Macaca mulatta: one gene and its partners. The protein of the gene in region 1 interacts with the protein of each later gene in a pairwise test. Links are inferred from orthologs where the notes say so. Each region holds a gene or a part of one and is shown on either strand. Other genes may lie near its edges.

The links.
Region 2: the proteins of REEP6 (region 1) and PTPN9 interact in binary tests that used the Homo sapiens proteins (3 or more experiments, as listed by UniProt). The two-hybrid records come from large-scale screens. The link is inferred for Macaca mulatta from reciprocal best matches to the Homo sapiens genes REEP6 and PTPN9.
Region 3: the proteins of REEP6 (region 1) and SNX15 interact in binary tests that used the Homo sapiens proteins (3 or more experiments, as listed by UniProt). The two-hybrid records come from large-scale screens. The link is inferred for Macaca mulatta from reciprocal best matches to the Homo sapiens genes REEP6 and SNX15.
Region 4: the proteins of REEP6 (region 1) and NDRG4 interact in binary tests that used the Homo sapiens proteins (3 or more experiments, as listed by UniProt). The two-hybrid records come from large-scale screens. The link is inferred for Macaca mulatta from reciprocal best matches to the Homo sapiens genes REEP6 and NDRG4.

Annotation. Positions count from the first base shown.
Region 1 is NC_133424.1:2,176,679-2,182,337, forward strand, and holds the start of REEP6 (receptor expression-enhancing protein 6), read left to right. Parts: upstream 1-1,726; 5' UTR 1,727-1,967; coding exon 1,968-2,082; intron 2,083-2,436; exon of another isoform or gene 2,437-2,547; intron 2,548-5,659. Other genes in the region: PCSK4 (proprotein convertase subtilisin/kexin type 4), read right to left, coding at 473-577, 838-1,026. UniProt on the Homo sapiens protein: Required for correct function and survival of retinal photoreceptors. Required for retinal development.
Region 2 is NC_133412.1:53,617,673-53,623,259, forward strand, and holds the start of PTPN9 (tyrosine-protein phosphatase non-receptor type 9), read right to left. Parts: upstream 3,919-5,587; 5' UTR 3,222-3,918; coding exon 3,159-3,221; intron 1-3,158. UniProt on the Homo sapiens protein: Protein-tyrosine phosphatase that could participate in the transfer of hydrophobic ligands or in functions of the Golgi apparatus.
Region 3 is NC_133419.1:9,347,221-9,352,367, forward strand, and holds part of SNX15 (sorting nexin-15), read right to left. Parts: intron 3,351-5,147; coding exon 3,235-3,350; intron 3,139-3,234; coding exon 2,991-3,138; intron 2,681-2,990; coding exon 2,537-2,680; intron 140-2,536; coding exon 1-139. UniProt on the Homo sapiens protein: May be involved in several stages of intracellular trafficking. Overexpression of SNX15 disrupts the normal trafficking of proteins from the plasma membrane to recycling endosomes or the TGN.
Region 4 is NC_133425.1:54,073,871-54,079,802, forward strand, and holds the start of NDRG4 (protein NDRG4), read left to right. Parts: upstream 1-1,991; 5' UTR 1,992-2,009; coding exon 2,010-2,247; exon of another isoform or gene 2,248-2,386; coding exon of another isoform or gene 2,387-2,402; intron 2,403-4,588; exon of another isoform or gene 4,589-5,519; intron 5,520-5,932. UniProt on the Homo sapiens protein: Contributes to the maintenance of intracerebral BDNF levels within the normal range, which is necessary for the preservation of spatial learning and the resistance to neuronal cell death caused by ischemic stress.

The DNA of each region.
Region 1 (5,659 bases):
ATCTCAACCCCTCAGCTTGACATCTCAGGCATTTTCTAGACAGGGCCCAGCCCGATCGGACCCAGGCCCCTTTCTGAGCACCCGGACACTGCGTCCTGAGGGCCACTGGGTGACTTTAAGGCTCCTACTCTTTGGAACCCATTCCTGTGTTGTAAAATCCCCTTCCCTCCATCCTATGACCTAGACGGTGGGGAAGGCATTCCATCTGTTCCTCCTTACCAGAGCCCCTGGGACCCAGAGGAGGGAGGGGAAGGGCAAGAGGTGACCACTGTGTACCACGCCCTGGCAGGCGCCATGATTTCCGTATCTGGGTCTCCCTCCCTCCTCCTGCTGTACAGACTTGTGGTCCAGGTGGGTCTGAGCCACAGAAAGCACACAGCTGTTCATAACAACCACGAGAACCACAGAAGATGGCTAGTGGCCCCAGGAGGCGGCTGAGACCCTGAGACGGTGGCCTCCAGGCCAGGCTCACCTTGGGGTCTTTCTTCAGGTGCAGGCGGTGGCCCCAGTGCGGGGTCAGGGACTGCTGGACCACGCCCCGGTGCCGCAGGTGAAAGTACTGCCCATCAGGGAAGATCTGGGGATGTGGGGAAGCGGCCGCACCGATAGGACCAGGCTCCCCTGCTGGAGCCCCCGAGGGCCGGTAACAGCCCCCTTTCTTGTCCTTCCCCACCAGGTGCTCTCTGGGAGTCCCAGAAGCTGAACTTGGCTGAGGCAGGGGTGGGCTGAGGCTCTTGATATTTAGGAGACCTTGTGGGCTCCCTCCCACTTGTCGGGGTCTAGGGTCCTCTAGTCCCTTCCACGCCCCCACTTCCCGTCCATCCCGGTCCCACCCACCGGCCCCAGGTTGACGAAGCCGAATTTGCGTGCCAGGCGCTCGACCTCCCGGTTACCCTGAGACACCCGGACGGCCCAGCTGCTGACATAGATGGGGGCTCGGACCGAGGCCCACCCCACAGCCCGGGGGCGGACGAGGGCCAGGGCCAAGACCCGGAGCAGCCACAGCGCAATCGGGGCGGGCCGCATGGAGGCGGGGCGGGGCCGGGGGCGGGGCCTGCGCAAAGCCCCTCCCTCCCGCCAAACCGCCGAGTGGACCCAGGCGTCCTCTCAGCCCCCGGCTCCATAGCAACGCGGAAGGCTTCGACTCCCAGGGGGCCTTGCGGCTACTCAGCCAAGACGGGCGCGAAGATCTGACAGAAGCGGGGGAGGGACGCACGCCTGCCCGTCTCCCGCAGACCCACACCCTCGGGAGCCTCAGTTTTCCCATTTGTACAACGACAGGACTAACCCAGAGAAGCGGGTTCACTGTTGCAGTAACGCGTCCTACCCTTTCTTTGGCCTCGCCCACTTTCCAACACACCCCTCCTTCGAGAATCAGCCCGGCCTCCTATCCGGGCTAATCAGAATCATTCTTTCGAGTAATCCCGCCTCCCCCGATAAGCCCCGCCCCATTCCCGCCCCTACCATTCCGCCCTGCCTCCTTTGTGATCAGCCCCGCCCTCCACTGCTCTCGCCAATGAATCGCGTCCCGTTTCTCCAATCGGCTCGGATTTTTCTTTAGCCCCACCCACCGGCTCCGCCCCCACCCGCGCCTCTCCTCGCCCTGGCTCCACCCCCTCAGTGTCGCAGCCAATAATCCCGTCCCCTGACGCCGCCCTTCCAATCAGCTACGTCTCGCTCTGGCCCGGCCAATCGGTGCCCTGGGCCGGCGCGCCCCGCCCTCTCCCGGCGGGGTCTGGGCAGCGGCGGCAGCGGGCGGAGGGCTATGCGGCGGGGGAGACGGGGCAGGCCCCACCTCCTTTGTCCGCCCTGCCCTCCCATTGGTCCGGGCGGGGGGCCGGGGGCGGACACCGGCGCCGGGCCGGAGCAGCGCGGCTCAGGCTGCGGGAAAGCGGCGCGCGTGCAGCGGAGTGGGTGCGCGGGTCCGCGGGCGAGCTCGAGCAGCCAACCCCGGGCGCGTCGGGGCCATGGACGGCCTGAGCCAGCGCGTGGAGCGCTTCCTGGAGCAAAGGAACCTGGTCACCGACGTGCTGGGGGCGCTGGAGGCCAAGACCGGGCTGGAGAAGCGGTATCTGGCTGCAGGTGAGCCGTCGGCGCTAGCCCGTTTCGCCAACGGGCACACTGAGGCCATGGGCCCGGGGGTCGCAGGTCTGACTCCCTCCCCGGCTACGGGGTCCGGTCCTGCTCGTGGAGCGCGCGGGGTGACCGGGACTTCGAGGTCCGCCCGCAACTCCTCCCTTGCCCGCGCCCTGCGACCCTGCTCCCGAGCCACCCCTCTCTAGCTTCCATCCCTGGCCGTCCCCCGCCGCCTCCTTCTGGGCGCTGGGTGCCTGCCATGCCGAAGTCCGGTTCTTCCAGTTGCCCAGTGGCCCCGGAGAGGCCAGGATGCCAGTGTCCTGCACGTTTCGCCGTCCCCCTCCCCCCGTGGACCCCGACCTGGCTGCAACAGTGGAGATCTTCCCGTTTTTCCGAGGGGAGGCTCCAGGCGGGGAGGGGAACGGACCGTCCCGGGGGGCTGCTCAGGACTCTCCTCTCCTCCTCCTCTCCTGCCCTAGCTCACCTTGCCCCGCTCAATGGCTTAGTGCCACCGCGCGTAAATATTTGTTAAGACGGAGTTGGGTTGTCTGACAGCTGTGATGTGGGGAGGTTGGACTGGGGCCCACAGAGCGGGAGATCCAGGCACCCCGATTGTGACTCCATTACAGTTCTTCCGGGCCTTTCACCCTTGGTGACGCCGCGCCCCTTCGCCTTTCCAAAACTACAGCAAGAGCATGTAGTAAGCGCTCCTTAAATGCCTCTCTCCCCACCTTTAAAACTTTTTTTTTGAGATCGAGTCTTGCCCTGCCGCACAGGCTGGAGTGCAGTGGTGCAATCTCAGCTCACTGCAACCTCTGCCTCCTGGGTTCAAGCGATTCTCCTGCCTCAGCCTCCTGCGCAGCGGGGATTACAGACGCAGGTCACCATGCCCGGCTAATTTTTGTATTTTTAGTAGAGACGGGGTTTCACAATGTTGGCCAGGCTGGTCTCGAACTCCTGGCCTCAGGTGATCCGCCCACCTCAGCCTCCCAAAGTGCTGGGATTACAGGTGTGAGCCACCTTGCCTGGCCTAAAACTTTTTAAAGTTAACTTTTTTAAGAGACAGGGTCTCACTATGTTACCCAGACTGGTCTCAAACTCCTGGGCTCAAGCGATCCTTCTGCCTCAGCCTCCCAAAGCTCTGGGATTTACATGGGAGCCACTGCTCCCAGCCCCACTGGCTCTGCCTTCTCTTCCAGGAAGCTCCGCAGAATGACTTGAAAGGACTTGATCTGGGCCTGGGGTGTTCTGGGTAGAGGACAGTGCCACTTTTTTGAGCACCTTCTGCAGGTGGATCCCCGGAGTCCAGTCCCCCCCTCCATTTTCCCACCATCTGGGGGTTCCCATGCCAGGCAGCCTGAGAACAGTCTGAAATCTGTGTCCAGACCCTGGAGGTCCCCAGGTGCCTGGTCCCATGTGCAGTGCAGCAGGTGGCATGGGCATGGCCTGGCTGTGCCTGCCCCCGGGAGCAGGTCCCTGGCCTCTGCCCTCCCTTTCCACATCCCTGGGGCCAGTGGGCAGGAATTTAGGTCACAGAGCGCCCAGGAGGCAGGCAGCAGGGAGGGGCTGGCTGGGGCACTGTGTCACCAGAGAGGAAACTGAGGCACAGGGCGGCAGGGGCTGCCTCTGCGCCTGTTGTGTCTGAGGCGTACACCCCTCCACCCCGCCCACTCCCAGTCCCATCTGCTGCTAATCGTGGGGGCTGGGCCCCCCTCCACAGTTCTGATGTCCAAGGTCATCCTCCCGTTGCTGAAGCTGCAGGAACAGGGATTTAAGGGAGGGACACCCTGGGACAGTCACTCCTCCCCACAAGCCAGGCCTGGGGAGAGGTAGCATTCCCTCATCCCCCTTCTCCCACCTCATTTAAATCGACAAATCCCACACCCCTGGGTAACATACGAAGAAACTCAGAGGAGACAGTGACCGGGAGGCCACACAGCCTCCCAGCTGGGGGACTCCGCCTACCCGTGACCTCGGGTGCTTGTGGATAAAGACTAAAGCAGGTAGGAGGGGCTGGGAGGGACTTGGGCCTCTGCCCTTTGGTCCGGAAGCGGCCTCTATCTCACTCTGCAGATAGCAGCTCCAGGGGAGGAGGAAGGAGGCTGTCCAAGCTCTCTGAAGCACGGGGGTTCCCTGTGTGACCTTGGGCAACACCCACCCACCCCCAGTTCTGAATAAGATAATTCAGGGAAAGCACAAAACCTGGCACACAATAGGCGCTTAATAAATGCAGCTGTCGTCATCATTCTTTTCAGAGCCAGGTTCAGGATTGGGGCTGAGCTGGACACACACACCTTTTTCTCTGAACACCCTCCTTGCTGGGACTGTGTTATTGTTGCCTGAAGGCACTTAATAAATGTGGAGAAGGGCAGGTCGCGGCGGCTCACGCCTGGAATCCCAGCACTTTGGGAGACCGAGGCGGGCGGATCACCTGAGGTCAGGAATTTGAGACCAGCCTGGCCAACATGGTGAAACCCCGTCTCTACTAAAAATACAAAATTCAGCTGGGTGTGGTGGCACGCTCAGCTACTCAGGAGGTTGAGGCAGGAGAATCGCTTGAGTCCGGGAGGCGGAGCTTGTAGTGACCTGAGATTGTGCCGCTACACTCCAGCCTGGACGACAGAGCAAGGCTGCGTCTCAAAAATAAATAAATGAATAAAAATAAACGCGCAGAAAGGAGTTCTCTCTGTTAACTTGTTATTACTTTTTTTTTGCAACAGAGTTTCGCTCTTGTTGCCCAGGCTGGAGTGCAATGGCATGTTCTCGGCTCATCACAACCTCTGCCTCCTGGGTTCAAGCAATTCTCCTGCCTCAACCTCCTGAGTACCTGGGATTACAGGCATGCGCCACCACTCCCGGCTAATTTTGTATTTTTAGTAGGGATGGGGTTTCTCCATGTTGGTCAGGTTGGTCTCGAAATCCTGACCTCAGGCGATCCACCCACCTCAACCTCCCAGAGTGCTGGGATTATAGGCATGAACCACTGTGCCCAGCCCTCTCTGTTAACTTGAAACCATAAGAGGCAGGGGCCATTACCATTCCCACTTACCAAGGGGGAAACTGAGGCTCCGTGCAGCCACAGCCTTGCTCAGTGCCGGCTGGTGAGTGCACAGCCAACCAAAGGGCTCTCCTCCACCCGGGGGACCGAGATGCTGGGGTTTGCTGCCTCCAAGACGGGGGGGGTAGTACTGCCCCCCACCCTGCCCCAGGGACACTGGGTGATGTCTAGGGATATCTGTGGTCGTCATGACTGGGGAGCTGATGGCATGGAGAGGGCAGAGGCCAGGGACGCTGCTCAGCACCCTGCAGTGTCCAGGACAGCCACCTCCCCTCCCCGCCGAAAACAACCAAGAATGACCCAGCCCCGAACATCAGCAGTGCCAAGGCAGAGAAACCCTGCACTAAGATAACGGATGAAACAGTTGCGTTTCTCAGCTCTGGAACCAAGTCTTCATGACAGCCTGGCCTCCCTTGCAGGCTTCACCCATCCCTTATATTGAAACATTAGCCTCGTTTCCCAGCGCCTCCCATAGGGCCTGGAACGAGATGCCTATCATTGCAGATTATGCTCATTCTTTTTTTT
Region 2 (5,587 bases), on another chromosome or scaffold:
CTCTGTCTCAAAAAAAAAAAAAAAAGAAAGAAAGAAAAGAAATATCTTTAAGGCTGTTCACACAGGCCAAAAAGGGCCTAAGTGCACTACACTTTTGCATGAAAATGTGTAAACCCAGTTTGATCCCCTACTTTAAATAAGGGTCTAAAAGATTTTTTGCTATTTACAAAAATCAAACTGACTCTAAAAAATACAAGGATTTTCCCACACTGAAGAAATTTCAAAGATTCTGCCACAAGCTTCTAAATCAACTTCTAGTGAATGTTAAATTGGTTTGAGCAATAGGGCAGCATTATGGAGTGAATGTGTCATTTCCCATGAGGACCACTTTGATAAGGCTAACACTTATTTACTGCCAATTAATTTAAATATTTTAAATAAATCTTAATAGTTAAGAGTACTCTTGGCCAGACGCAGTGGCTCACACCTGTAATCCCAGCACTTTGGGAGGCCGAGGCGGGCGGATCACAAGGTCAGGAGATGGAGACCATCCTGGTTAACACCGTGAAACCCCGTCTCTACTAAAAAATACAAAAGATTAGCCGGGCATGGTGGCGAGCGCCTGCAGTCCCAGCTACTCGGGAGGCTGAGGCAGGAGAATGGCATGAACCCGGGAGGTGGAGGTTGCAGTGAGTCAAGATCGTGCCACTGCACTCCAACCTGGGCAACAGAGCAAGACTCTGTCCAAAAAAAAAAAAAAAAAAAAAGTATCCTTGGCCGGGCACAATGGCTCAGGCCTGTAATCCCAACACTTTGGGAGGCAGAGGCGGGCAGATCACGAGGTCAGGAGATCAAGACCATCCTCCAACATGGTGAAACCCCGTCACTAGTAAAAATACAAACATTAGCTGGGCGTGGTGGGCACCTGTAATCCCAGATACTCCCGAGGCTGAGGCAGGAGAATCGTTTGAACCCGGGAGGTGGAGGTTGCAGTGAGCCGAGATCACGCCATTGCACTCCAGTCTGGGCAACAAAACCCAAACTCCGGCTGGGCGCGGTGGCTCACAACTATAATCCCAGCACTTTTGGAGGACAAGGTGGGCAGATCACGAGGTCAGGAGTTTGAGACCAGCCTGGCCAACATGGTGAAACCCCATGTCTACTAAAAATACAAAAATTAGCTGGGCATGGTGGCAGGCGCCTATAATCCCAGCTGCTCAGGAGGCTGAGGCAGGAGAATCATTTGAACCCTGGAGGCGGAGGTTGCAGTGAGCCAAGATCAGGCCACTGCACTCCAGCCTGGATGACAGGGCGAGACTCCGTCTCAAAAAAAAAAAAAAAAAAAACGAAACTCCAACTCTAGAAAAAAGAGAGTACTCTTATGTGACATTAAACTAGAATATGATAACATCAGGCATTACCATAATTAGAACTATACTGCTTTTTTGTTTTAATATTTTGAAATGCTTGTAAAAAATAACATTTTGTAGGAAAAAAAGAGATAAGATTTTAAAAACACACAGACACATAATCTCTTGCCTTTAATAAATATTTTGCCATTTCCATCCTAGTCCTTGTTAATGCCCATCACATTCAATTCAGGGTAAAAAATAAGGTTTTTACTAGTTAAACACATTTGTATATGTGTATGCACTATATACAAAGTAAAGCCAATATATGTCAATACTATCAATACTTTAATATTTACTTTTCCTGGTTTTAGTTTTCAAATTTGCAACGGATGCTATTTGCATAGAATACTGATGCCTTTAAGTCTTAAAAACAGAAATCTGCCTGACCCAAGAAAAAGGATGAAAGAAAGAGATTTGTCCCTTTAAAATCAGCCAACACGTCCTATGTTAGTACTGAAGTACTTTCCAATTCTGGCAGGATGGGCTCCATGGCCACCTGCTTGCACTAGGGCCTGACTAGCATTTTATTAACATCCAACTGCAATTACCAGGACATTCATTACCACTGCTTGTACAAAGCAGAATTCTCTTTAAATTTTTTTCCCATACTGATTTCATCACCAGGTGTCAAAAGGCAAAACCGTGGCCTGAGGCCAAATAGAAAAATGTCATCTCTACAAATGAGGAGAAAAGACAAGGACTTTAAAAAATCAGGTCAACAAGCCCATTAGCCAATAATAGTTTGTAAAACTAGACTGTCTTCACACTAGAGGCTGTGCTAGCAAATGTGGTCCTTGGAAACAACGGCTGTAGAGCTTGAAATGGGTTGCCAGCATGGTTTGCCTTTTTCGTTTTTCATGTTTATTTTTATTTTTTTATTTATAACATGGAATCAGACTATGACTATAATGGAGCATAGCTATGGCGGGGTATAGGCACTGCCAAGGAAGAGACAGCGAAAAGCCCGTAGGGTTCCCAATCTAAGCTAGCAGACCTTCCCATCTTCCTCAGGAGTGGTCCCTGTCTCTGCAGCTGGAATGTGCGGGAGGGAAAGTTACAAGGGCCCCCAAAATGAGACAGCAAAACACTTCCTTCTGAGAACTAAAGGTCATAGGCTTTTAAGGAACAATAGAGCTCAATGTAAGCTTCAGAAAGATGATGACAGTCAGATGAGACGGGGGTAGGGAAGCAGGGGTGAGGAGATGCTCCCCGTCTGGGATAGCTGAATAGGAGAGTCAAGGCCAGGAACTTTAGAAGCACGAGAAGGGCTGGATCTTCCAGAACCTGCCCCAGTGGGCCTGAGAAACCTAAGAGGCTCCTCTGAAAATCTAGGGCATCTATGCATCCAATACTCTCAGCCCTCTCCTCGGGAAGGGAGATAATCCCCACAGGAAGCACCCCCCAAACTGGGGCTTTTCCTACCCTTCAAAAGCCACAAACCCTCACGGAAAACATTTACAAGGGAGTGGAAAGGCCGGGGGCAAGCAGCGGTTCTGCAAACCTCAGGAAGGAGGCCCCTGGATCCAAAGAACTTTGCCCCTGGAATGGGGGGTGGGGTGGGGAGGGCACCGTCTGAGGCCCGTAAGCCTCGGGGAAAGAAGCTGCAGGAACTGGAGCAGGGTCCCGTGGGTGCACTGACGAGGGGGTGGCGGCCTGGGGCGCGGTCGCCGGTGAGGGAGGCCCGCGGGCCGGGCACGGGGGCGCTGCGGGCCCGTGGCTGCAAAGAGCCGGGGCTTGGGAGGCAGAGGCCGGCGTAGGCCTCGGGGGCCCGGACACACCCACCGTGGCGGCCTCGGGCCCGCTTACCTGCTCCTCCTCCGGGGTCAGCTCCGGCGCCATGTCGGGCCGGGGCGCGGTCGCGGGCTCCATCCCCCAGCCACCGCCGCCGGGCGGACAGAACTCGCTCGCGAGCGCGGGAGCCCGGCACGCTCGGCCTCCGCTTCCGCGTCCCCGCGCCTCAGCAGCCCCGGGCAGGCTCGAGCATGGTGGGGCCGGCCAGGGCCCGGCGCCCGCAGCAGCCGCAAACGCCGCTTCTGCTTCTTTAAGAAAAATCTCTCCGAACTGCCCCTCTCTTCCGGGAGGAAATCCTTTTTTATATTATTCGCTCCTTTCCTCACACTCCCCCTTATCTCCTGGGGAAGAAAAAGTGCAGGCGAAGAGCTAACAGCCGCTCGGGATTTAAAAGGAAATCGGAAATCAGGAACTTTTAGAGCCGGGAGCGAAGGGTCGGCGGAAATTTCACGAAGGCCGCCGGCCCCCTCGGCGCCCCGCTTCCTCGGCCGCACTCCCGCTTCTCCACAGCGCCACAGCACTCGGGGCCGCCCAGCCGGGCCGTCCTCGCGGACGCTGGCCCTGCGACCTGCGCGGCTGCCTCAGCCAGGCTCCTTGCGGGCGGCCGCAGCGAGAGGGAGGGAGCGAAGAGGGAGCGAGGGAAACGCGCCCCCCTCCTGGCTCACGGCCAACGCTGCGGCCGCCCCGCGGCCGCCCGAGCCCCCCGCGGCTCCATTGAGAAACTGAGCGTCTCATTCACAAGCTGGTGGCGAGGAGGGCCCAGCGGAGCGAGGACGCCGTCCGGGAGGGGGAGACAGAGAGGAGCCCGGGCGGGGGAGGGGACCCGGGCGGGGAGGGGACCCTAGCAGGACGGAAGGCGACTCGACTGCGGGAGGGAGGAAAAGGAAGAAAAGAGTGTATTTCGTGAGGCTCAGATCTTCGGAGGAGGAGGAGAATACATTCGTTTGCAAATTATCTGCTGACTGGCACCTCTCCTGGGGTTAACTTGCCGCTGCCACCTACGCGTGAGAAACCCACAATCCTCATCTATTTGTCGCTTGCAGCCTGAAAGACCCTGGAAAGGTTGCCTGCCAGGCCAGGAAGCTTAGGTGGAAGGAATCGCACCTGCCTCCCTCTCTCTCCCTCCTTACTGGCTGTATCCTGTAATTCTTCTCCAGTGTAGTTAATGTTAATCCCCCACAGAAACATCAGACTCCGAACCTCATTCAGGAATGACGCGGCCTTTGCAGACCTTTGATTTTCACTAGGGCAAGTGCAGCAAAGGATTCAGGATTAGGTGTACACTCTTGGAATCATTTGGGGAGGAATGGGGCATAGAGAAGGCAAGGCTGGGTCTAGTATGTTGTTGCATTATTCCAAGCCAAAGATAAATATTCCAAAGGGACTCAGAGAACTCCACAACTAGTTCCAAGGCTGAAGCCCTGGAGCCAGTCCTGTGAGAGACCCAAAGGAGGGGCCTTCACACAACAGGAGGGTGCTGTGAGTTGTGATGCTCCCACGATTTTTTTTTCTTTTTTTTTTTTTTTTTTTTTGAGACTGAGTCTCACTGTGTCGCCCAGGCTAGAGTGCAGTGACGCCAACCCGGCTCACTACAACCTCCGCCTCCCGGGTTCAAGCGATTCTCCTGCCTCAGCCTCCTGGGCAGCTGGGATTACAGGTGCGCACCACCACGCCCGTCTAATTTTTGTATTTTTAGTAGAGACAGGGTTTCACCATGTTGGTCAGGCTGGTCTCGAACTCCTGACCTCGTGATCCGCCCGCCTCGGTCTCCCAAAGTGCCAGCATTACAGGCAGGCGTGAGCCACCGCGCGCCCGGCTTTTTTTTTTTTTTTTTTTTTTTTTTTTTTTTTTTTTTTTTTTTTGAGACGGAGTCTCGCTCTACCGCCCAGGCTGGAGTGCAGTGGCCGGATCTCAGCTCACTGCAAGCTCCGCCTCCCGGGTTCACGCCATTCTCCTGCCTTGTGATCTGCCGGCCTCGGCCTCCCAAGGTTTCTTTTTTTGTTTTGTTTTGAACAGAGTCTCACTTTGTTGCCCAGGCTGGAGTGCAGTGGCGTGATCACAGCTCACTGCAGCCTCAAAGTCCTGGGCTCAAGCAATCCTCCTGCCTCAGCCTCCTGAGTAGGTAGGACTACAGGTGCACACCACTGCACCTGGCTAGTTTTTTTTTTTAATTTTTTGTAGAGATGGGGGTCTTGCTATGTTGCCCAGGCTGGTCTCAAACTCCTGGTGAACCGCCTTTGCAAAATTATAACTGAGGATTTTATGACAGTGAAAGAAATCAGACCTGACTCTATCTTGCTTCTAACCCTTAAGCTGTCCTTGTTCATTCCTGGGCATAGGCCGAACTAACTTGGGGAAGGAACTCAGTTCATGGTTTGACTCTGAAACAAAATTGATAACAGCCCTTCCCGAAAAGACCTCCTTCTTCCCTGGGGTCCAGTCTG
Region 3 (5,147 bases), on another chromosome or scaffold:
TAGGCAGGGGTGGGCCCTCCTTCCCCGTCCTCTTCCTCCTCCTGCCCTCCTGGCTCCCAGGGTTCCTGGTCCAGCCTTGCTGACTCCACCTCCATCGTTGCCAGCTCAGCCACATGGGTGGGGCTGGGGGCTGCGCCTTCTGCAATTAGAAAGGGAGGACTCAGACCAGACTAGCCCTTCTTTTCTCAGGCCCTCTGCCCAACCCAAGACCTCTTTTGTTCATCAGGGTATCAGCCTGTCCCCAGTAGAGGGGACCAAGGCCAGAGCAATCCAGAAGTCGTCTGTGGATCAAAAACTGGCCATGATGTATTTGATAGATAGGGTTCATGTGCTTCTGTAAAAACAGCCTTACCGCCGGGTGTGGTGGCTCACACCTGTAATCCCAGTATTTTGGGAGGCCGAGGTGGGCGGATCACGAGGTCAGGAATCGAGACCATCCTGACTAACATGGTGAAACCCTGTCTCTACTAAAAATACAAAAATTAGCCGGGCATGGTGGCGGGCACCTGTGATCCCAGCTACTCGGGGAGGCTGAGGCAGGAGAATGGCGTGAACCCGGGAGGCGGAGCTTGCAGTGAGCCGAGATCGCGTCACTGCACTCCAGCCTGGGCGACAGAGCGAGACTCCGTCTCAAAAAAAAAAAAAAAACAACAACAATAACAAAAAAACACAGCCTTACCTTCCTAATTATGTCATTAGGTACACACTCACTTTAGTTTGTGAGCTCTGGGTCACTGGTCCTATTTCCCTCTTGACTCCAGTTGACCTAGAAATCCAAAAATCCCCTCCAGAAAGTTTCCCTGAAGAATGCTAGGCCAACAACACCAGGCTGAGGGTAGAAATGCTCCAAGCCTTGGAATAATCTTAGAATAGGAGACTTCGAGAATCTCAGGGGTTTTCTGAAGCCTTGCAGCTCCAGGCTCTGGGGACTCTCCCCATGGGCTGAGTGAGTCTCACTGGAGCTGCGTGTGAAGGGTCTTGAAAAGATCCTGGTTGGACAGTTGCTCATGCCTATAATCCAGCGCTTCAGGAGGCCGAGGTGGGAGGACTACTTGAGTGCAGGAGCTTGAGACCAGCCTGGGCAACATAGTGAGAGCTTGTCTCTAGAAAAAATCAAAAACTTAGCTGGGCGTGATGGTGCATGCCTGTGGTTCTGTCCCAGCTATTCGGGAGGCGGAGGTGGGGGGATCGCTTGGGCCTAGGAGGTAGAGGCTGCAGTGAGCCACGATCACACCACTGCCCTCTAGCGTGGTGACAGAGCCAGACCCTATCTCAAAAAAAAAAAAAAAGAAAAAGAAAAAGAAAAAAAAGAAAGGAAAAAAAAAAAAGAGAAAATAGAAAAGCTCCTGCCCAGGCAGGCGCTCAGCTGACACAAGGACAGAGCACTTGGATGCCTGCCACCCAGAGGCCAGACACAACAGCCCTGTGACACCAACACTGCCTTTCCCTCCCATTCCTTCTTCCCACTCCCCAACCCTGGAGAGGCAGTAGCAGGAACAGGAGGAAGCAGAACGAGAAAAGTGAGAGGCAGGGCACTTTGGCTCATACCTGTAATCTCAGCACTCTGGGAGGCCGAGGAGGGTGGATCACTTGAGGGTCAGGAGTTTTGAGACCAGTCTGACCAACATGAAGAAATCTCATCTCAACTAAAAATACAAAATTAGCCAGGCACCATGGCGTGTGCCTGTAGTCCCAGCTACTCGGGAAGCTGAGGCCAGAGAATCGCTTGAACCCGGGAGGTTGCAGTGAGCAGAGATTGCGCCACTGCACTCCAGAATGGACAACAGAGTGAGACTCTGTCTCAGAAAAAAAAAAAAAAGAATAACAGACATGGGCTCTCGCTATATTGTCCAGGCTGGTCTTGAATTCCTGGGATCTCCCTGCCTCAGCCTCCCAAAGTGTTGAGATTACAGGTGTGAGCCAATGTGCCAGGCCTTGGCGAATTTTAGAATGAAAAACTCCAGTGCCTCAGAGCTTGGGACTGTCAAGTCCCAGGATCTCACAGCAAGAAGGTGCCCAGGACCCTAACCTCCATCAGGGGGCCCTTCAATCTCCGGCATCCCCAAATGCCAGTGGCTCCAGGCCCCCAGAGGGGTTTCCCTTTGCAGCTGCTCTTTGAGCTCAGAACTCACTTCCATTGACCAGCAGGCTTCTTGCCTTCAGGATCTGCAGCCAGACCCTGGCCAGCCAGGAAATCCCACCACGAGCTTACAGCGAAGGAACTAAAATGTCCCAGAGCAGTGTGACCCGGCTCTTTCCAAAGCCTTCTCAGTGAGATGGCCCCAACGTGGGAAGTGCCTCCTTTCCTTCCTCATGGCTACTTGTTGCACAGGTGCATCCAGCACACCACACCACGAGCCCTGGCACGGAGCTGCTCATTCTCACTGAAGCTGCTCTTGGTCCACAGGGCAGCACTACTGAGGGGACGTCTTTCCCAGATCTGCGCAGGCACTGAGCAGGCTAGTGGGGCTCTGCCCTCCTCCCTGTCCTAAGGATGTCCTGCCCTGGCTCCTTCCCGGCTGACCCAGCTCATTACCTTCTTTGGAGAAGGGGTCGAAGAGGGCCAGCTCAGCCTCGGTGAGGGGGACTCGGGCAGGGGAACCAGACGCTTCCTCGGTGCTCTCACAGTTAAAGAGAAGATCCAGGGCCTCCTGGGCAGGGCTGGATGGTGGGGGGTCCACTGAGGAAGAGATAATTGGGGTCATGAATACCCGCATTTATTTCTCAGCTTTCAAAATGGAATTACTCTCTCTCTAAACCCTTGCAGCAACCATGGGCATAGACAAGCCCGTTATTAGGGTTTATGCCCATTTTACAGATTAAGAAACTGTAGTGCAGAGAAGGAAAAGGACCTGCCCAAAGTTCCTCAGCCAGTCAGTGATAGACCTGGACACACGCCCATTTCTCACTAAGACCACTGAGGAGTGAGTGTGGCCCCCTCCCCACTCTGTACCCTCCAGCCTTGGTTCCCTCCTCCCACCCTGATGTACCTGGCACCTCCAATTCCTCAAGGCCCCTCCTTTCTGCAGGGAGCGGCTGGGGTAGCCGGGGGTCATCAGGGGGCGGGGTGGGGATCAGAGGGGGTGGCAGGATGTGCAGGTCCCTGGACATCTCCGAGGGTCGGGTCACCTCCCCACCCTGCAGGACAGAAAGATCAGCCATGGGGAGTCATGGGGTGCAATCTGGTGGGTGGGTAAGTGGCCCAAGTTCTGGTAAGGTGGAAGGTGCACATACCCTGAAGAACTCCTTGAGCTGGGGGCTGTTGTTGAGCGCAGGTATGTGCACGGTGAAGCGAAGCAGGTCCTCTGCCCCCTTTCGCCGCTCCTCGATCACTGAGGCTTCAAATCGGCCTACAGCCCCCAGGACAAGGAACAGGGGAGAGTGGCGGTGACCTATAGGGGCTTCTGCCCTAAGGCCACTTTTCCTGGTCCTGCCTGAGATGCTCTGAGCAACTCACTGCCCTCCTACCCCTTCTCCCAGGAATCTTCTCTGGCTCCTCCTGGGGTGAGGGAGGGGCTTCCAGGACAGATCAATTTCCCTATTCATTCATTTGCCAGATGTTTACTGAGCACCTACTATATGCTAGACTCAGAAGGTGAACAGGGGAGGAACAAGTCTCTGCCCTTGTGAGTATCACATCCTACACAGGGGGAGCTAGGTAGTTAACAAGAAACAAAAACATTTCTGATGGCTTTGATCTAATGAGGAGAAAAGTAAGGCTCAGAGAGGGAAAGTGACTTGCCCAAGGTCACACAGCAAGTAGCCCCCATTTGTTTTTTGAGACAAGGCCTGGCTCTGTTATCTAGGCTGGTGTGCAGTGGCACAATCTCAGCTCACTGCAACCTCTGCCACCTGGGATCAAGCCGCCCTCCTGCCTCAGCCTCCCAAGTAGCTGGGACTATAGGTGCACACCACCATGCCTGGCTAATTTTTGTATTTTTTGTAGAGATGGGGTTTTACCATGTTGCCCAGGCTGGTCTTGAACTCCTGAGCTCAAGTGATTACCTTGCCTTGGCTTCCCAAAGTGCTGAGATCACAGGTGCGAGTCACAGTTTCACTGCTCTGTCCTAGGTATTATGCAGTGCAGGCTAACTCTGGTCCAGTTACTGTGTGGCCATTCTGTGGTACTTCCCCACTGGCCTGGCATAACCTGACAACAGCAATCTTTCACCTTGCCTCAAAAGAACAAAAGAACATCTTGGCCAGGCGTGGTGGCTCACACCTATAATCCCAGCATTTTGGGAGGCCAAGGCAGGTGGATCACTTGAGGTTAGGAGTTCAAGACCAGCCTGGCCAACATGGTGAAACCCCGTCTCTACTAAAAGTAAAAAAATTAGGTGTGGTGGCGCACACTACTTGGGAGGCTACTTGGCTACTTGGGAGGCTGAGGCAGGAGAATCACTCAAACCTGGGAGGGCAGAGTTTGCAGTGAGCTGATATCATGCCACAGGACTCCAGCCTGGGTGACAGAGTAAGACTCTGTCTCAAAAAACAAAAACAAAAACCAACAACAACAAAGAACATCTCACGTGAGTACGCAGACGCGAGCAACTGTTCAGCACTGTCTAATACAGATATGAGCTACATATGCAATTTTACATTTTCTAGCAGCTACATTAAATAAAAGGAAAAAAGAAACAACTTTTTTTTTTTTTTTTTTTGAGACGGAGTCTCACTCTGTCGCCCGGGCTAGACTGCAACGACGCAATCTTGGCCTCCCAGGTTCAAGCGATTCTCCTGCCTCAGCCTCCTGAGTAGCTGAGTTTACAAGCGCCCGCCACTACACCCAACTAATTTTTTGTATTTTTAGTAGAGACAGGGTTTCACAAAGTTGGCCAGGCTGGTCTCGAACTCCTGATCTCGTGATTCATTTGCCTCAGCCTCCCAAAGTGCTGGGATTACAGGTGTGAGCCATCATGCCCAGCCACAAGTTAATTTTAATATTTTATTTAACCCAATATATCCCAAATATTCTCACTGCAACATGTAATCAATATAGTAAGTATTGAGATAGGCTGGGTGCAGTGTCTCAGGCGTGTAATCCCAGCACTTTGGGAGGCCAAGGCGGGCAGAGCAGCTGAGGTCAGGAGTTCAAGACCAGCCTGGCCAATGTGATGAAACTCCGTCTCTACTAAGAATACAAAAAT
Region 4 (5,932 bases), on another chromosome or scaffold:
GTCTTGAGCTGTCTTGCCCAAATAAAATTTTTCAGGCCATCAGATTTCCATACTCCCCAGAGTGGGACTTCATCTGGGACCAAAGGCAGGGTGGTGAGGGGTGTGGCAGGAGGGAGGAGTGCCCCGGGGTCCCGAGCAGGATGAGCCTGAGGAAGACACGGGTCCCCATGTTCCCTTTCCCGCTCAGGTAATGGATGTGAATTGAGGGGAGCAGGGACCTCCCCATCTTCAGGGTGGGACCCTGAGGGCCCGGGACACCTTTGCTAGGGGATGTCCCTCCCCACTCCTGCACAAGTTCCCCAAGGGCACCCTCGGGCTCCGAAAACGGGGGGAGGGGGACGACGCCCCAAGGGCCCCTGAGCCCCTTGTTCTTCCCGACCCCCACGGCTTTTCTCCCTCGGTTCCCAGGCGGGGACGGCGGGTGGCGCGGAGCAGCAGGCGCAGGGGCGGTGGGGTAGGGATGTCTCTGCAGGGCTGAGGTTCCCCTCGGGAGTCTAAACAAAGACTAAGGCAGCGCCGTCCCCTCCCCCGGGAACCCGACGCCGCGCGGCCACAGGGGGCCTGGAGGGGCGGGCAGGGCCTTGCAGCGCACCCAGCACAGTCCGCGCGGCGGAGCGGGTGAGAAGTGGGCAGGGGCGCGGATCGATCAGGGTGTGCCCCCAGGCTCCGCGTCGCGGTCCCCGCCCGCCCACCGGCCCACCGGCCCACCGGCCCACCGGGCGCACTAGCCGCGCAGGAGGCGGAAACCACGCGCGAGGTACCGTGGTCCGTCCGGGGCCAGTCCCAGGTCGGGCGCCGCCCCGCTGGCCGAGCGCCCACACCCGCCAAACCCACGCCGGCACGCCCCCCACGGCGCACCGCCCCCAGCCCGGCCTCCGCCCCGGCAGCCGCGGGCACGCGGAGGGGCTCCCGGCTGCCCGCACCTGCACCCGCGCGTCGGCGGCGCCGAGGCCCCGCTACCCGCCTGCGCGTCTGTCTCGCCCGCATCTCCACGGTGAGTCGGCGGCGCCCTAGCCCCTGCGCCCAGGTCCCGTTCCTCTCGCCGCCGCGGCTGCTGCGCGCGTCCCCGCCCAACCCAGCACAGTCCCGCGCACGACCCCAGCCCCGCGAGCCCCGCACCCACTGGCTCCCGCCACATTTCGCCTCCGCAGGGACGGCGCCCCCTCCTGCCCGCGGCCCCCGCTCTCCCTCTTCGCCTTCCCAGCTGCGCTGGGGACACCCAGCCGCCGTCCGCGCGCCCCCAACCGCGACGCCCGGAGGCGGCGGGTCTCTTTGTTCGGGCGCCGGGCTCGGGGGACCCCTCCCGCGGTGTCACCGCACCCACCCCGCGCCCTCCCTCCGCCTCCTGGAGTTCACCCGGACCAGGTGGCGGCGGGTGCCTTTTGGGGGTGCGCGGCCATGCAATTGGTGGATTTTTTTAAACCGTTTTGGAGGGGGGAGCGCGGCGTTGGGGGCGGGAGAGCGCTCCTTGCTGTGAGCTGCTCCTCCCGCTTTGCTCCGCGCTTTCCTGCCGCTCCGCTCCGGGTCTCCCGCGCTCCTCTCCCCGGCTCGGCGGAGCGCGCTGCCCCGACGCCGCCACCCAGAGCCGGGCAGCGCCAGGCGCCGAGATGAAGGTGCTGGGACACCGGCTGGAGCTGCTCACAGGTACCGCCCGTCTGCCCCGCAGCCGCCCGCCACTTTCCGAGTTGGAGCGGGCTCCGGGCGCGGCCGCCGGGGCCTGGGGCGGCTCGGGTCCGAGCAGGAAGGGGTGCGGATCCCCACTGATTCCTAGTTTTGTGCTACCTGTTTCTGTGCGGAGCCCGGCCCGGGGAGAGGACTTGAGGCTGTGGCGAGTCCCTTGCGCCGGCGTCCGGGCTGCAGGAGCACCGGTCAGGGGGTGGCCCCTTGGGGTCTCTGACCAGCGGAGCTCGGGTCAGGACCCTGAAAGCTAGCTCAGGGCTCTTGCCCTCCAATCAGTGTCGCTTGTCCTCTTAAGAAAGGACCCGTGGGCTCCTGGCAGGACCCGCGCCATGAACCTCTTATTTCTGCCCCCTGTGACAATCTGGGCCGTCTTTCTCTGGGGGGGGAGAAGTTTCTTGCTGGGAGCGGAGGCCAAGTGGCCTGGGAAGTGGGAAGCCAGATTGGACCCTACTAACTGGGGACCCTCAGCCTTGGAGTCCCTCTGGAGACGTGATCAGTTGCCCTGCTGGAAACTCACATCCAGGGGGCAGTGGCTGGAGAGCAAGAGAGAACGGTCAGGAAAAGGAGGTGGGAAAGGGACAGGGGAGGATTCGAGGAGTGACTTCTGTGTTCTCCCCGGTGTGGAGAGACCCAGACAGGAGGAAAGGAAAGCAGCCCGGCTTCCTCCAGGCCTGGGACTTGTAGGTGCTCCATCCATGTATGTCAGATGAGCACAGATTCCAGTAAGTGTCCTCCGACACTTGGGGGAGGGGGCTGATCACTGCCTTCGAGGACATTAATGGCCGATGAGGGAGCAGAGCCCAGGAGCCCTGTTACAAGGCTGTGGGTGCACTCAGGAAACAGGGTGGAATCTGAGTCGGGGGCAGCTTTTGAAGATCTCGAAAAACAATTTCTGTTAATGAAGACGGAGGTGGCATTATGGGTTCAGGATCAAGGGACTGGCCCATGCTCTGGGCTGTGAGAGAGGCTTGATCCGGGAGAGGTATGGAGGCTGAATGGCCTGGAATGTGCGTGTGTGTTGGGGGGGAGGGGGCTAAAAGGTGGGGGTGGGGGTGAGGTTTTATTAAATCAGCAGTAGCAGGCCAGGCGCAGTGGCTCATGCCTGTAATCCCAGCACTTTGGGAGACCGAGGTCAGAGGATCGCTTAAGGCCAGGAGTTCAAGACCAGCCTGGGTAGCATAGGGAGACCCCATCTTTACAAAAAAATAAATAAATAAAGCAGCAATAGCTCGTGACAGACTTGTAGAGAAGGGAAGGTGCAGGCTGTTCCTGGGACACTGGAAACGGGCTGGGTGCTCAGAAGTGCCAGCGCTGTGCCCAGTTAGCCACGGGGCTGGCACCCCCTCCAATCCCTTGCCAACTTTTTCTTTGTGGAGCCCACTTAAGGCAGGCCCAGCTCACCCAGCTTGGAAGGGAACAGCACAGGCCGCTGAACTTGTTAACCCCCTAGGAAGGCTTACAGTTCCATGGGTTGGTTGTTTGTTTGTTTTGTTTTGAGATGGCGTCCCACTCTGTCACCCAGGTTGGAGTGCAGTGGCATAGTCTCGGCTCCCTGCAACCTCCGTCTCCCAGGATCAAGGGATTCTCCTGCCTCAGCTTCCCGAGTAGCTGGGATTACAGGCACGCGACCATGCATGGCTAATTTTTGTGTTCTTGGTAGAGATGAGTTTCACCGTGTTGGCCAGGCTGGTCTCAAACCTCTGATCTCATGTGATTCCTGCTCCCAAAGTGCTGGGATTACAGGCGTGAGCCACCGCGCCCGGCCCCCACCATGGGTTTTTAGAGCCCTGCATGGTGAACGGATCTCCTGGTTCCTCTCTCCTCCCCCTCTTCCTGCCCCCAAAGGGCCTGGATGAGAAATGCTCACAGGAGACATGTGTAGGGGGCTCAAGGAGGGGTCTAGGCTTTGGAGACCCCATGCACTGTTCCCTCATCTCCTGGTAGAGGAGTCAGGACCCTTCTTCCCTCACCAGATGGGCTCACTGGATTCTGGTGGACTTTCTAAGTCCCTGGCCAGGGTGGATGAGGCCCCTCTCAGTCACTATCATCAGTCACTGGCTTCCATTGCACCTGCAATCCGGCCCTGGGAGACAGCCCATCCTCTCTGTTGCTGTTTTGTGGTCTTCACAGCCTTTCCTCTCTGTCCTCTTCCTTTTCTCACAGATCTGGATTCTAAATCCAACCCCATCAGTAGCCAGCTGTGTGATTTCAGACATTTTCCTTAACCTCTCTGACTTCAGCCCTCTCATCTTAAAGATGGAACTGTTGGCCCCTGTCTCTAAGAGATGGTGTGAGGCTTGCTCAGATAGTGTAGGCGACACATGTGGTTGGGACCTAGACCCTGGTGGGCACCTCTTGGGCCCCACCTGTTCTGGCTGGTTGGCCCCTAGAGCATTTGGATCTGTCCCCACCCTCCTTTCTCCCTGCTCTCCTGCATCTATGAGATTTGACCCATCACCCCCATTGGATGACAAGCAGGTCACAGTCTGGGAGGTGGCCACTTTATTGTGGTGGCACACAGCAAATGCTCGAGGGTTGCTGACTGAGGCTAGGCTCACACAGCCCGCTCAGCATCTATGTCTCTAGGATAATTCTGTAGAGGCCCCTAACTCCCTGCCCCAACATCAGCCTTCAGAAATTGTTTTACTGAATTTTAAAAACTCATATTGAAGGCTAGGCGCAGTGGCTCACACCTGTAATCCCAGCACTTTGGGAGGCTGAGGCAGGCAAATCACCTGAGGTCAGGAATTCAAGACCAGCCTGGCCAACATGATGAAACCCCATCTCTACTAAAAATACAAAATCAGCTGGGCGTGGTGGCGCATGCCTATAGTCCCAGCTACTTGGGAGGCTGGGGCAGGAGAATCACTTGAACCCAGGAGAGGGAGGTTGCAGTGAGCCGAGATTGCACCACTGCACTCCAGCCTGGACAACAGAGCAAGACTCCATCTCAAAAAAAAAAAAAAAAAACTCATACCGATTTAGTTCTGTGTACTTTTCACATTCTCCTATTTTATTATCTTGCCTGTCTTGCCAGTGAAGTCAGTGACTTCCTCACGTTCCTATTTCTCAGAAGAGGCAGCGCTGGATTCAGAACCGAGCCCTGAACTGGGAGTTGTCCCATGGCATTCTAACTGCCTGGCTTTAGGACAGTCTAATAGCTGTTCCACACTTCACTTGCCTCATCTGTAAAATGGGATCGTCGTGGTGCCCAGCTGGCTGGGGCCTTTGGAGATTAGGTGTGAGTGTGTGCAAGATGCCAAGTCCAGCTTCTGGCAGGCGGACAGTAGATGAGAGTCGCGGAGCTGGCGTCCTCAGGCTGCCTCCTCAGTGCACTCCATCACGGTGCTGGGGGCCCCTTCTCCTCCCGCTGTGCTCCAGTTTCCAGATTCCCTCCCCCCAGGGTGTTCCAGTTCCTTCACTGGGTTCTCGCACCAGTCCAGGCCTCTCTGAGATGTGTCTCTGGGGGACCCTACTTAGGTCTCAGGTTCCTGTGAGAGGGGCATGGCCTCGGGGTGGGGCCCTTCCAGCCAGACACCTACAGCTCTGACATCGTGGGGAAGGCCAGGTACCCCCTCACATATGGGACTAGAAGGAGACCGTGGGTTGTCGTGCCCAGACCCAGCATGTCTCTTTGTTCTGGGGAGAAGAGGAGGCTGTTGGGGTCCATCTGGAGGCTTCATAAATCACGAATGCTTATCGAGGCCATTTCCAGGCCCCTCAGAGGGGTCTTGCTGCAACAAGGACAAGGAAGGCAGGGGTTTTGGAATCGGAGGATGTGAATTTCAGGGTCTCCTCTCTGCTTCTCAGCTCCCGGGCAATTCTTACCTTCTTTCAGCCTCAGTCTTATCAGTAAAATGGGAATAATAGCCCTCATTAACAGTGTGAGGCCAAAGCAGTTGGCTCATGCCTGTAATCCCAGCACTTTGGGAGGCCCAGATGGGTGGATCACCTGAGGTCAGGAGTTCTAGACCAGCCTGGTCAACATGGCAAAACCCTTTCTCTACCAAAAATACAAAAATGAACCAGGCTTGGTCGTGTGTGCCTGTAGTCCCAGCTACTGGGGAGGCTGAGGCAGGAGAATTGCTTGAACCTGAGAGGTAGAGGTTGCAGTGAGCTGAGATTGCATCACTGCCCACCAGGCTGGGCAACAGAGTGAGTCTCAAAAATATATATATATTGTGGGGAGCCCAGGACACGGTCACACCTGCACACGAGCTCATTACAATTCTCAGAGGGCAGATTCCTGGTG